2 linked regions of the Tribolium castaneum genome follow. The main gene of each other region encodes a partner of the protein of the gene in region 2 in a complex. Links are inferred from orthologs where the notes say so. Each region holds a gene or a part of one and is shown on either strand. Other genes may lie near its edges.

What was found.
Region 1: TfIIA-L (region 2) and Polr2F share a complex: the UniProt entries of both Homo sapiens proteins name them as parts of the TBP-based Pol II pre-initiation complex. The link is inferred for Tribolium castaneum from reciprocal best matches to the Homo sapiens genes GTF2A1 and POLR2F.

The regions. Positions count from the first base shown.
Region 1 is NC_087398.1:1,179,690-1,186,067, reverse strand, and holds Polr2F (DNA-directed RNA polymerases I, II, and III subunit RPABC2), read right to left. Parts: upstream 2,771-6,378; coding exon 2,375-2,770; 3' UTR 2,329-2,374; downstream 1-2,328. Other genes in the region: probable ATP-dependent RNA helicase DDX23, read left to right, coding at 1-2,003, 2,099-2,316; Kua (plasmanylethanolamine desaturase 1), read right to left, coding at 4,194-4,454, 4,623-4,841, 4,885-5,096. UniProt on the Homo sapiens protein: DNA-dependent RNA polymerase catalyzes the transcription of DNA into RNA using the four ribonucleoside triphosphates as substrates.
Region 2 is NC_087395.1:25,196,058-25,204,497, forward strand, and holds TfIIA-L (transcription initiation factor IIA subunit 1), read right to left. Parts: upstream 7,126-8,440; 5' UTR 6,917-7,125; coding exon 6,429-6,916; intron 6,187-6,428; coding exon 5,736-6,186; 3' UTR 5,472-5,735; downstream 1-5,471. UniProt on the Homo sapiens protein: TFIIA is a component of the transcription machinery of RNA polymerase II and plays an important role in transcriptional activation. TFIIA in a complex with TBP mediates transcriptional activity.

The sequences.
Region 1 (6,378 bases), on a different chromosome or scaffold from region 2:
ACGTAGCAAAGAGCGCCCCCACAAACGGTACAGGTCTCGTTCCCGAGACAAGTACGAGAGTTCCAGCAGCAAATACGACAGGTACAGTAAGTCTGAACGTGACCGGAAAGATGATAAAGACAAGAAATCGAAAGACTCGCGAAAGCGATCACCAACACCAGAGACAGAAACGAAACCCGACACGAAATCAGACGTGAAACAGGAACCAGCACCTAAGAAGGAACCCTTGTCATTGGAGGAGCTTCTGGCTAAGAAAAAGGCCGAAGAAGCGGCCAAAAGCAAGCCGGTGTTTTTGACCAAGGAACAGCGAGCCGCAGAGGCGTTGAAACGTCGTCAGGAGGAAGTTGACCGTTTGAGGAAACAACAAGAAGCCGAACGGAAAATAATCGAAAACGTGCAAGCTTCCAGACAGGAGGAACAGAGAAAGGATGACCGGGAGTTTCGGCGGCCGCGTGATCGCGAAAAAGACGAAGACAAACAGAAGGATAAAGACAGGGAGAAGGAATCCGACGCGATTAAAGAACGCTACTTGGGTTTGATAAAAAAGAAGCGACGAGTTAGGCGTTTGAACGACCGAAAGTTCGTGTTCGACTGGGACGCCGGTGAGGACACGTCCCAGGACTACAATCCCTTGTACAAAGAGCGCCACCAGGTGCAATTTTTCGGCCGCGGAAACCTCGCCGGAATCGACATCAAGGCCCAAAAACGCGACCAAAGCAAATTCTACGGCGAACTACTCGAAAAACGCCGCACCGAAGCGGAAAAAGCCCAGGAAAAAGTCAGGTTGAAGAAAGTCAGACGTAAGGAAGAGAAGCAACTGTGGGACGATCGCCACTGGTCGGAGAAAGACGTCTCGGAAATGACCGAGCGTGATTGGCGCATTTTCCGCGAAGATTACAACATCACAATCAAAGGCGGCAAAATCCCGGAACCCATCCGCTCCTGGAAAGAGTCAGGCATCCAGAAAGAGCTGCTGGAAATCATCGATAAAGTGGGCTACAAGGAACCAACCCCCATCCAGAGACAGGCGATTCCCATCGGGATGCAGAACCGGGATATTATCGGGGTTGCGGAGACCGGTTCGGGCAAAACGCTTGCGTTTTTGATCCCGCTTTTATCCTGGATTCAATCGCTCCCGAAAATCGAACGCACTGAAGATGCCGATCAGGGCCCCTATGCCATTATTTTAGCCCCCACGCGTGAATTGGCCCAACAGATCGAGGAGGAGACGGTGAAGTTTGGCCAACCGTTGGGGATCCGCACTGTGGTGGTTGTGGGCGGTTTAAGTCGCGAGGAGCAAGGTTTTAGGCTGCGAATGGGGTGCGAGATTGTTATTGCAACCCCGGGACGACTTATTGATGTTTTGGAAAATCGCTACTTGGTCCTGAACCAGTGCACGTACATTGTTATGGACGAAGCCGATCGCATGATTGATTTGGGATTTGAGGCAGATGTGCAAAAAATTTTGGAGTACATGCCGGTCACTAACTTGAAACCGGACTCGGAAGAAGCGGAAGATAGTAAAATAATTTTGGCGAATTACAACAGTAAGAAGAAATATCGGCAAACGGTGATGTTTACGGCAACTATGCCACCGGCGGTTGAGCGACTGGCGAGGACGTATTTGAGACGTCCGGCGGTTGTGTACATTGGTTCGATCGGGAAACCGACGGAACGGGTCGAACAAATTGTGCATATTATGACTGAGAACGATAAGAGGAAGAAGTTGATGGAGTATTTGTCCAAAGGGGTCGATCCACCGATTATTATTTTTGTTAATCAGAAGAAAGGGGCCGATGTTTTGGCCAAAGGGTTGGAGAAGTTGGGCTACAATGCGTGTACGCTCCATGGGGGTAAGGGGCAGGAGCAGAGAGAGTACGCACTGGCTAGTCTCAAGTCGGGGGCTAAGGACATTTTGGTGGCCACTGACGTGGCTGGGAGAGGGATTGATATTAAGGATGTTTCCGTTGTTATTAATTACGACATGGCCAAGACTATTGAAGGTAAGATAAGTTTGTCCCAGATTTTTTTTCTTTATGACTAGTGCAAACTGAAGAAAAAAGGAAATCTAATCTGTAATTTGTTTATTTTTTTTCAGATTACACCCATCGTATTGGCCGAACCGGCCGTGCCGGGAAGAGCGGGGTGGCTATCAGTTTTTGCACCAACGACGACTCGGCCCTATTTTACGATTTGAAGCAAATGTTGCTATCGTCACCTGTCTCAACGTGCCCCCCTGAACTAATGAACCACCCTGAATGCCAGATTCGGCCCAATCAGCCGAAACGCCGCCGCGACGAAATGATTTTCGCTTAATTAAAATAAAACTCGATGTTTACTTAGCCTTTATTCTTAAAAACAAAATCTTATTACACTAGTGGTCAATTATTATGAGTTCGTCTATGCCCCAATCCTCGTACGAGTGGTCGGGTAAATAACGCCGGATTATGATGGGGATTTTCCGTTGTTTGAGTTCTTTCATTGCGATTTGAAGCGGGTCTGTCTCTCCGTCTAGTTCCACCATAACTGGGGCACACATGGCGATTTGCAAAGCTCTTGTTCCCAAAACACGAGCTCTTTCGTATTTGGTCATGTATTTGGTTGTTATGCGTTTGTTTTTGGGCACTCCGCCCCCGGCTTGGCCATGAGCGAGGATGTCGATGTTGTCGCCTTCCTCCTCGGGCTGCTCCAGCTCCTCGATGTTGTCGTCATCGACGTCGTCGTCGAAGTCGTCCCCCACGTCATCACCGTCGAATTCTTCGTCATTCATTCTCGATTTCTAGCTAATTGACTAATTTAAAGGCATACACAAACATAGCACAACGTTCAGATGTCAAATGCGTCAAACGTCAAAAGTATTGGTTATTGGAGAGTTGCACGAAAGTGCATCAGTCCGAAACTTGTTATCGGTTCAAACAATACTTTTACTTTAGTGTATTGTTGGTTGCGTCGCAGTTGCGATAAAAACTTTTTTTGATGAAATTTTGATTGTTACGATTTTTTTAAGTTTAGTTAACAATTTGGTGCGAAAAAAATAAAACACATTAAATTCAAGCAACTTTATTGTATAAAATAATTGCATTTGTTCCAGACTTTATAAAATACCGTCTTGTCTATTATAGTGGCGGTCAGCTCGATTTGCGTGTGCGTCAATTTCATTTTTTCATTACCAACACAAAGCTATAAAAATTGTCAAAAACAATGCAAATTTAAACAGCTAAGGGCTATCTAAGGGTGGTATCCTTGAACATTAATTGACATTGACAGTAAATTATAGACGTCGTCGCATCGTTGTCGAAAGTGTGTGTTATCGGTGTTAATCGTAAGTATTTTCTGTTCGTTTATTGTGTTTTGTGATTTGCGTTTCGTTAGGTTTTTGATTCTGCGTTTATTAGTTCTTGTTTTGTGAATCTGTATTTTTTGTAACAACTTCGTAACCTCAAAAAATATTTGATAGTTTGTCACCGCTATGCCCCTGCTGTGTAAACGTAGTGAGAGAAATGTCAGATGACGCACACGCAAATGGAGCTGAGCGCACCATTGCAGTTTTGTCTAGAAATGGTAAAAATAACTGCGATTTATTGCGATGTTTAAATCACAGTGTTTGTCTAGTTAACAAACCATTTTTTGTGGTAGTTTCTAGCGTACGACTGCTTATTGATTAATTGAATAAAACGCAGACGGAGCTCGTCATAAAGCTCAAATAATTAAATAATTGCAAACAAGTTGAGAATTAAAAACCTTAGCCTAGTCATAAGTCGTACAAATTACCCTACTGGGTGTTAAGCGTGTTTGTAATGATAATGATTCATAAAGTACCTAAATCAGGCACTCTAACTACTTTGGTAGTGCGTGTAGATTATCCCTGGAGTGTTTAAGACTAGCTTCAATAAATCTAAAATTGATCAAATCATTAGGCTAAATTGTAAGAACTATTAAACATTTAAAAAATTGGCCCAAGGCCCATCGCTTGGTCCCCAATGGTTAACATGATTTTGTAACAATAAAAGTACATTACATTCGTTGTCCAATCTTAAAATCAGGCACTTGATTATGTATTTATTGAATCGAACAAAACGTGGTGTTCTCTATCACCAATAAATCGCTAAATCAACTAAATGAACTTTTGGCAATTATTCCACAGACACGTAGAACTAACAAAACAAACCCCATTCATAACAAAGACAAAAATATCACGTGCCCTTTTGCGCCCACTTCATATCATCAGCCCGCGGTTTGTAGCCCGTGGTGTGTTCAATCAGCAGCTCTAGGATGCTCCAAAAGCGCAGCTTCTCCAACGGCCAATTGAGCCACCCGGTGGTGATGCAAAAGTAGGTCTCATGCGGGGCCACATGGTGGATGCGGTGGTGGCGCCTCGGCAGAATCACATGGTGCTCCTGCAGCCACACCACCCACGCCGGCAGCCCGAAGTAGGTGTGCGACCACTTGTGTATCTGGAAAGTGGCTCCAATCAGCAAATGAACTCAGATTTATCGGGCGCGTTACCCCAGGTGTGCGTGTTTGCCACGGGCCCTATCATTTTATAAAGTATTATATCGCGAGCTGATCTAAAAGCGCACACACGACCCGAGGAATTAATTCGAATCAATAATTAACTCTACCTGATTGGTCATTGCCACGAAAATCGCCAACAGAAACACGTAGCAATTCCACGTGAACTTCCTCTCGACCCCGTCCGCAGGCAGCGTCAGAAAATCCCAAACCATCCTCGCCAGAAACGGAATGGTCACCATGAAGTTATCACCGTTGGTTTCGATAAAGTCGTGGCGGGTGATGGACGTCGGATCGATGTGGTGTTCGCGGAACGGCCGCAAAAAATTCTACACAAAATTTAAAATATCAAACATTTCGCTCTCCACTCACTTTGCCCAAGATGGGGAGCTCCACCGAGCCCCACGTGTCGGCCGCCCAGTGCACGAGTCCCGAGCCGAAATCCGCCGTCACAATGCCGCAAAACGCCGCCACCAAAATCGTGCTCAAGTTGTCCATACGGACGTGGAATATTATGAAGAAGAAGTTGACCACCATAAGGGTCAAGCAGATTCCCACGCAGATGCATTCCTGAGTCCGCTTCCCTGCAAAAAGGGAGCGGTGTGACTCGGCTAATTACACTTGGGCCCAGTATTAGTGTAAACTAGGAGGAATATTAAAAATAATCGAGTTTAATGGGTCATCGGAATAATATGAAATGTCATCAATGCATAATAAACGAACTTGTGCTAAGTAATATCGACGACAAGATCGATTCTTCCTAAATAAGCACCTATCAGAATAAAACACACTGTCGATTAGACAAACACATCAATAAAACACGAATTAAAGTGGCATTTTTTACGTTTTAACGCTCACTATAGCGTGAAACTACAATGATTCATTTTCGCGAGATATTATGTCATCGAGAGGTGGTTTCCTTTTTTGTACCTTGACGTAATTTCGTAACGGATTTATTACCACTCGAGTGATAATTTAATTTTGCCAAAAACTTACGAATGATAACACGTTTCTGTTCTAAATCCGAATATTTAAACACATTTCTTGAACATGTTACGACTTATTTTATGTAAATTTAGTTAAAGGTGAAGTAGCTTCGTACGTACAGATTGACACGTATCTGCATGATGCTTTGTGTCGTTGCAAATCTTTTATTGTATTGTAATTACACGTAACCGCAAGCTAAGTTAAGCAAAAAGGTTAATCTAAAGCAAACGTTAGTGATGATAACAAGGCCTCACTTTTCAGCATTAATTCCTCTATGGAGACATAATTTAAATTTTCTCATACAACATGTATGAATGTAAAAAACACGACAACTAACTGTACATAACTATATATAACTATTTTTCGTAAAACTGAAATAATTTAATACAACTGCCAACTTCAGCAAAACCTATTACGGTAATCCACAAGGGAAATCTTATTTAATTATAGATTAGCTGGACACAACCGTCAGCAAAAAACAAGTTTTGTGGTAGAAAATTTCAGAATTTATTCTTTTTTAATCATTTCTTACAAAATTTTGGTTTTTGAAAAAAATTAACACCTGTATTTGTGCAGTGACTAATTTTGTGCTACAGATGTTGCTATTTACGGAAAAAACGGAAAGTTAATTACTTAAAATACGATTATTTTTACACACTTGGCATTTTTCATGGTGATTATAGTCGACTGAAATTATCTAGCAGATTAATCACCCTCTAATGACGTATTAAAACACGCCTTTATTTTGCAAACCTTGGTAGTAAAATTTTATTGTACCACTTGAACATAGAATTGAAAAAACCACCACTTGTTTTAGTTCTAATTCTATTTAAGGAAACAATCCCAAATGATTGTTATCAAGGAATGAGTTTCAGTTCA
Region 2 (8,440 bases):
TTACCAATTTTTGCATTTAGCAGCAAATTGCTCGAAAACTATTAGTCGGAGAACAATAATCTTTTTTGAAAAAGATAGAAAATTTAAAGAGCTTTCCAACGATAATACACTTCATGGGGTTATCTCTAATAGTTCCGGAGCTATTGCTCGAGAAATGTTCCGGGTACCCAAAACCGACAAAAACTGCGATGAAAATTGAAAAAATCAAACATCAAAAAATCGAACATTTGGACTTTTTGTGGACTTTTAACAACTTTTGTGGGTTGTTAAGATATGTAGAGGTCCATAAAAATTTGCTGGAGTTAGTTAAAAAAATTTTTTTTTTCACCTCTTTGATGGTAAGTAGTGTATTTTATTCAGGAAATTTTAGCAAAAAAATTGAAAATTTTAAATTGCGTGAAAAATTGGTATAATAGAGAAAAAAAGCCGCTGAATCCAATGGAACAAACCGCACTGCTCTACGACTTTTAGTTTTCGAGTTATGAATTTTTTTAAGGAATAAAAGTTTTCACTGACAAATGGCTACCCTAAATTTAGGCAAAAAATTTTAAATTTTTAATTCTTGTGAAAAATCGATATAATATGTAAAATGAGCCGTAGAATTCAATCGAACAAACCGCACTGCTCTACGACTTTTAGTTTTCGAGTTATGAATTTTTTTAATGAATAAAATTTTTCGCTATGACAAATGGCTACCCTAAATTTAGGCAAAAAATTTTAAATTTTTAATTCTTGTGAAAAATTGATATAATATGTAAAATGAGCCGTAGAATTCAATCGAACAAACCGCACTGCTCTACGACTTTTAGTTTTCGAGTTATGAATTTTTTTAATGAATAAAATTTTTCGCTATGACAAATGGCTACCCTAAATTTAGGCAAAAAATTTTAAATTTTTAATTCTTGTGAAAAATCGATATAATATGTAAAATGAGCCGTAGAATTCAATCGAACAAACCGCACTGCTCTACGACTTTTAGTTTTCGAGTTATGAATTTTTTTAATGAATAAAATTTTTCGCTATGACATGGCTACCCTAAATTTAGGCAAAAAATTTTAAATTTTTAATTCTTGTGAAAAATTGATATAATATGTAAAATGAGCCGTAGAATTCAATGGAACAAACCGCAATGCTCTACGACTTTTAGTTTTTTTTTTATGAATTTTTTTAGTGAAAAACTTTGATCGCCTCTGTAGCCGGAACCGTTGCCCGGAGCGGCTCCGGGTTTAATCAAAAAAATAGACAAAATCAAGCGCTATCAGATGGTTTTTTGTTCGTTGCTCTAAGTCTTACAGTTTCCGAGAAAAACGCAAAAAAAGGTTTCCATTTTCACTTTTTTTCAATTTTCAATCGCCAATTACGGCGAAACTATTAAAGATATCGAGAAACGGAAAAATGGAGGATAACCGGAATTAAAAACTCTACAAAATGGCATAGCACTCAAGGCGATATCTCGCAAAAAATTTTTCAATTTTCAAACGCCGATTACGGCCAAACTAAAAGAGCTAGAAGAAAAAGGTTTGTTCCATCGTAAAGAGCACATCAAAATCTATAAGACAGAATAGGTTTCATTTGATTTTGAGACACTTTAAAAATTGACCGATTTTAAGGGGGGGGTGTTAACTTTTTTTTAATTTTTTTTATTTTCTCATTTACGGCTAAACTATTCAATAAAGTGGAACTGTTTTGATCCATCCCTATGCAAAATGATCCGGGGAATCGATTGGCATAGAGAAAATTGCCATATTCCCAATAGTTTTTTAGTTATGAATTTTTTTAAATTTTACCAATTTTTGCATTTAGCAGCAAATTGCTCGAAAACTATTAGTCGGAGAACAATAATCTTTTTTGAAAAAGATAGATAATTTAAAGAGCTTTCCAACGATAATACACTTCATGGGGTTATCTCTAATAGTTCCGGAGCTATTGCCCGAGAAATGTTCCGGGTACCCAAAACCGACAAAAACTGCGATGAAAATTGAAAAAATCAAACATCAAAAAATCGAACATTTGGACTTTTTGTGGACTTTTAACAACTTTTGTGGGTTGTTAAGATATGTAGAGGTCCATAAAAATTTGCTGGAGTAAGTTTAAAAAAATTGTTTTTTCATCTCTTTGGGTAAGTAAGTGTATTTATTACTCAGGAAATTTGAGCAAAAAAATTGAAAATTTTAAATTGCGTGAAAAATTAGTATAATAGAGAAAAAAAGCCGCTGAATCCAATGGAACAAACCGCACTGCTCTACGACTTTTAGTTTTCGAGTTATGAATTTTTTTAATGAATAAAAGTTTTCACTGTGACAAATGGCTACCCTAAATTTAGGCAAAAAATTTTAAATTTTTAATTCTTGTGAAAAATTGATATAATATGTAAAATGAGCCGTAGAATTCAATCGAACAAACCGCACTGCTCTACGACTTTTAGTTTTCGAGTTATGAATTTTTTTAATGAATAAAAGTTTTCACTGTGACAAATGGCTACCCTAAATTTAGGCAAAAAATTTTAAATTTTTAATTCTTGTGAAAAATCGATATAATATGTAAAATGAGCCGTAGAATTCAATCGAACAAACCGCACTGCTCTACGACTTTTAGTTTTCGAGTTATGAATTTTTTTAATGAATAAAATTTTTCGCTATGACAAATGGCTACCCTAAATTTAGGCAAAAAATTTTAAATTTTTAATTCTTGTGAAAAATTGATATAATATGTAAAATGAGCCGTAGAATTCAATGGAACAAACCGCAATGCTCTACGACTTTTAGTTTTTTTTTTATGAATTTTTTTAGTGAAAAACTTTGATCGCCTCTGTAGCCGGAACCGTTGCCCGGAGCGGCTCCGGGTTTAATCAAAAAAATAGACAAAATCAAGCGCTATCAGATGGTTTTTTGTTCGTTGCTCTAAGTCTTACAGTTTCCGAGAAAAACGCAAAAAAAGGTTTCCATTTTCACTTTTTTTCAATTTTCAATCGCCAATTACGGCGAAACTATTAAAGATATCGAGAAACGGAAAAATGGAGGATAACCGGAATAAAAAACTCTACAAAATGGCATAGGACTCAAGGCGATATCTCGCAAAAAATTTTTCAATTTTCAAACGCCGATTACGGCCAAACTAAAAGAGCTAGAAGAAAAAGGTTTGTTCCATCGTAAAGAGCACATCAAAATCTATAAGATGGAATAGGTTTCATTTGATTTTGAGACACTTTAAAAATTGACCGATTTTAAGGGGGGGGTGTTAACTTTTTTTTAATTTTTTTTATTTTCTCATTTACGGCTAAACTATTCAATAAAGTGGAACTGTTTTGATCCATCCCTATGCAAAATGATCCGGGGAATCGATTGGCATCGAGAAAATTGCCATATTCCCAATATTTTTTTAGTTATGAATTTTTTTAAATTTTACCAATTTTTGCATTTAGCAGCAAATTGCTCGAAAACTATTAGTCGGAGAACAATAATCTTTTTTGAAGAAGATAGATAATTTAAAGAGCTTTCCAACGATAATACACTTCATGGGGTTATCTCTAATAGTTCCGGAGCTATTGCTCGAGAAATGTTCCGGGTACCCAAAACCGACAAAAACTGCGATGAAAATTGAAAAAAATTAAACATCAAAAAATCGAACATTTGGACTTTTTGTGGACTTTTAACAACTTTTGTGGGTTGTTAAGATATGTAGAGGTCCATAAACATTTGCTGGAGTTAGTTAAAAAAATTTTTTTTTTCACCTCTTTGATGGTAAGTAGTGTATTTTATTCAGGAAATTTTAGCAAAAAAATTGAAAATTTTAAATTGCGTGAAAAATTGGTAGAATAGAGAAAAAAAGCCGCTGAATCCAATGGAACAAACCGCACTGCTCTACGACTTTTAGTTTTCGAGTTATGAATTTTTTTAAGGAATAAAAGTTTTCACGGACAAATGGCTACCCTAAATTTAGGCAAAAAATTTTAAATTTTTAATTCTTGTGAAAAATCGATATAATATGTAAAATGAGCCGTAGAATTCAATCGAACAAACCGCACTGCTCTACGACTTTTAGTTTTCGAGTTATGAATTTTTTTAATGAATAAAATTTTTCGCTATGACAAATGGCTACCCTAAATTTAGGCAAAAAATTTTAAATTTTTAATTGTTGTGAAAAATTTATATATTATGTAAAATGAGCCGTAGAATTCAACCGAACAAACCGCATTGCTCTACGACTTTTAGTTTTTTTTTTATGAATTTTTTTAGTGAAAAACTTTAATCGCCTCTGTAGCCGGAACCGTTGCCCGGAGCGGCTCCGGGTTTAGTCGAAAAAATAGATAAAATTAAGCGCTATCAGATGTTTTTTTGTTCGTTGCTCTAAGTCTTACAGTTTCCGAGAAAAACGCAAAAAAAGGTTTCCATTTTCACTTTTTTTCAATTTTCAACCGCCAATTACGGCGAAACTATTAGAGTTTTCGAGAAACGGAAAAATGGAGGACAACCGGAATAAAAAACTCTACAAAATGGCATAGGACTCAAGGCGATATCTCGCAAAAAATTTTTCAATTTTCAAACGCCGATTACGGGCAAACTAAAAGAGCTAGAAGAAAAAGGTTTGTTCCATTGTAAAGAGCACATCAAAATCTATAAGATAGAATAGGTTTCATTTGATTTTGAGACACTTTAAAAATTGACCGATTTTAAGGGGGGGGGGTGTTAACTTTTTTTTAATTTTTTTTATTTTCTCATTTACGGCTAAACTATTCAATAAAGTGGAACTGTTTTGATCCACCCCTATGCAAAATGATCCGGGGAATCGATTGGCATCGAGAAAATTGCCATATTCCCAATAGTTTTTTAGTTATGAATTTTTTAAAATTTTACCAATTTTTGCATTTAGCAGCAAATTGCTCGAAAACTATTAGTCGGAGAACAATAATCTTTTTTGAAAAAGATAGATAATTTAAAGAGCTTTCCAACGATAATACACTTCATGGGGTTATCTCTAATAGTTCCGGAGCTATTGCTCGAGAAATGTTCCGGGTACCCAAAACCGACAAAAACTGCGACGAAAATTGAAAAAATCAAACATCAAAAAATCGAACATTTGGACTTTTTGTGGACTTTTAACAACTTTTGTGAGTTGTTAAGACATGTAGAAGTCCATAAAAATTTGCTGGAGTTAGTTTAAAAAAAATTTTTTTTCACCTCTTTGAAGGTAAGTAAGTGTATAACTCAGGAAATTTGAGCAAAAAAATTGAAAATTTTAAATTGCGTGAAAAATTAGTATAATAGAGAAAAAAAGGCGCTGAATCCAATGGAACGAACCGCACTGCTCTACGACTTTTAGTTTTCGAATTATGAATTTTTTTGTTGAATATAATTTTCCATTATAGGCATTGCTCTACGATTTTTAGTTTTTGAGTTATGATTTTTTTTCAAAAGAGCTGCTAATTTGCGATTTTTGTCATCTTCCAGGTGTTAGAAAAACGACCAATGGTGTAACTTCAAAAATAGTTTTATTCACAAACGGCTATCGATAATTGATAATACATAGTAAAAATTTCGATTAAATCTAAACGCCTATTATTAGTTACATTTATAATGGATAACACAATTCTACAACTCAGGCTATTCTCCCATTTTACATACAAAAGTTCAATAACTTAAGTCGGAACCCAACGTTCCCTTGAATAAGTGACGGGTTTTGCGTGCAAGTGACTTGAAAATAATAAAAAAAAAACAAAACTTCTTAAAAAACACTAATTACCATTCCGCATCACCGTTAGCCTTTTGGAAGACATAATCTTGTCCACTCAAGTTCATTATCCCATCTTTCAAATAAAATTTCCACTTATTCCTATTTCTTATGATTTTATCGTACTGACAAACAACGATGTTATCAGTATCGAACAAATCAGTTGGGTCGTCATCAGTCACATCGTCTTCGGAGTTCAGGGGCTCTTCTTCACCACCTTCTTCCTCCATTTCTTGATCCTCTTCGTCCTTATCGTCATCGATATCCTCGTCGTCGTTATCGTCGTCAGACCCGTCCTCATCGTCGTCGGACGTGTCCACGGGGCCGTCCACCTGGGGCACCTTCTTCCTAGGCAAAATAAACTCGATTTCGATTTGTTCCTCCTCCTCCTCCTCGGCGTGGCTTCCGTCCGTCTGGGCGATGTTTCGGTTGACAATGGTCACGATCTGCTGCTGCTGGCTGTTAAAAACACGTTATCTCATAACAAAAAACTACAATTATTACAAGCTTTTTTATTTATTCCGAAGAGAACATTATTAAAAATCCGATAAAATTTTAAACAATAATTAGAAAATTTTTAAAACAATTATTGACAAAAATATCTGCATAAGTGTGCACAAAACATGTATTTTTCTTTGTACAGGGTGACCCGAAAACATTTTGCGTGGACGATTTAAGTTAAAAGGGGGCTAACTGACTACCTGTTAAACACCGCGTTGACGTGCTGCTGGAGCACCGAAGACGCAATATTGGCGGGCAAATTCATCATCCCCGTGATGATCTGCCCCGTGAGCACCTTCTGGAGCTGGTTCCCCTGGAGCGCCGTGGCGGGGACCTGTATCGTGAGTATCCTGGGGCCCTGGTCGCTGCCGGGCTGCGCCGGGAGCGTGATCTGGATGGGGACCATCTTCGTCTCGGCGATCTGCCCCACGGGGGCTGCCGCCGGCTGCGCCACATGCTGCTTGGGGAAGCCGTTGGTGGCGGTCATCTCCGCCTTCTTCGCCTTCTCCTCCTCGCTCTGCACCGCCTTGCTGGCCTTGAGCTTGGTCTCCCAGGTCTGCTTCAGCTCCTGGAGGACCTGCTCGTCGACGCCGTCCTCCAGGAAGATCTCGCGGACGCCGCTGATCACGTCGTCGATCACCTCCTGGTAGATGCGGAGCACCGAAGTCTTGCACAGGGAGTTCGACATGGCCTTGGGGGCGCACCACACTACGTTAAGCTGATTATGAACGGTTTCCGAGAGTGGAAACGGGCGATAATGGCATTTTTACGCGCACATATGCACTTTTGAGGTTAGGGAAATCAGATGGCCGACATTTTGATGGAAAATGAAGGCGAGAGATGAGGAAAATTTTGGGGTAACGGCAGGACGCGATCGGGGATAGTGCGCAAGCGCCGGAATGAAGAGTTTTTATCAATTCTTATCACAAAAAATTACTACCACGACAAAAAAGTCGTATGGTGATTAGTGAGTCGTGGGGTTTTTATGGGTACAAAAAAGAGATTTAAGCAATAAGAAAATAGTAAAAAAGTGGTGTATTGTGGGTTGACTAAAGCACAAAATGGCTGCCCGAATTATTTTACCGCGAAATACAAAAATTAAGTTAATTTACGATATAGCAGAATTTAGCAAAAAAAATCAAAATTTTTAATCTCGTAAAAAAAGCTGGTATAACAAAGAAAATGAAACAAACCGCATTGCCCAACGACTTTTACTTTTTGGGTTATGATTTTTTTTAGTGTAAAACTTTAATTGCCTCTGTAACCGGAACCGTTGCCCGGAGCAGCTCCGGGTTTGGACGAAAAAATAGATAATTTTAAGCGCCATCCGTTTTTTTAGTTTGATTCTCTAAGTCTTAGAGTTTCCGAGAAAAACGCAAATAAAGTTTCCATCTTCGCTTTTTTTCCATTTTCAACTGCCGATTACGGCGAAATTATTAGAGTTATCTAAAAACGGAAGAATTGTAGAAAAGCGCAATAAAAACTCTACAAAATGGCATAGGACTCAAAGCGATATCTCGCAAAAAGTTTTATAATTTTCAATCGCCGATTACGGCCAAACTAAAAGAGCTAGGAAAAAACTCTTTTTTCCATCGTAAAGAGCACATCAAAATCTATAAGAAAGGATAAGTGTTATTTGATTCTGAGACACTTTTAAAAATGGCCATTTTGGAGGGGAGGGAGGTCTTAATTTATTTTTAATTTTTATTATATTCTCAATTACGACTAAACTATTCGAAAAAGGGGAACTGTTTTGATCTTTACCTATGCAAAATGATCCAGGGAATCGATTGGCGTCGAGAAAATTGCCAAATTCCCACTAGTTTTTTGGTTACGAATTTTTTAAAATTTTACCAATTTTTGCATTTATCTGCAATTTTCTCGAAAACTATTAGTCGGAGAGCAAAGATCTTTTTTGAAAAAGATAGACAATTAAAAGAGCTTTCCAACGATAATACACTTCATGGGGTTATCTCTAATAGTTCCGGAGCTATTGCTCGAGAAATGTTCCGGGTACCCAAAACCGACAAAAACTGCGACGAAAATTGAAAAAATCAAATATTAAAAAATCGAACATAAGGATTTTTTTTGAACTTTTAACAACCCTAGAGGGTTGTAAAGGCACATATAAGTACGAAAAACTATGATAGAACACATTAAAAAAATTTTTTTTTCACTTTCTTGAAGGCAAGTGTTAATACTCATTAAATTT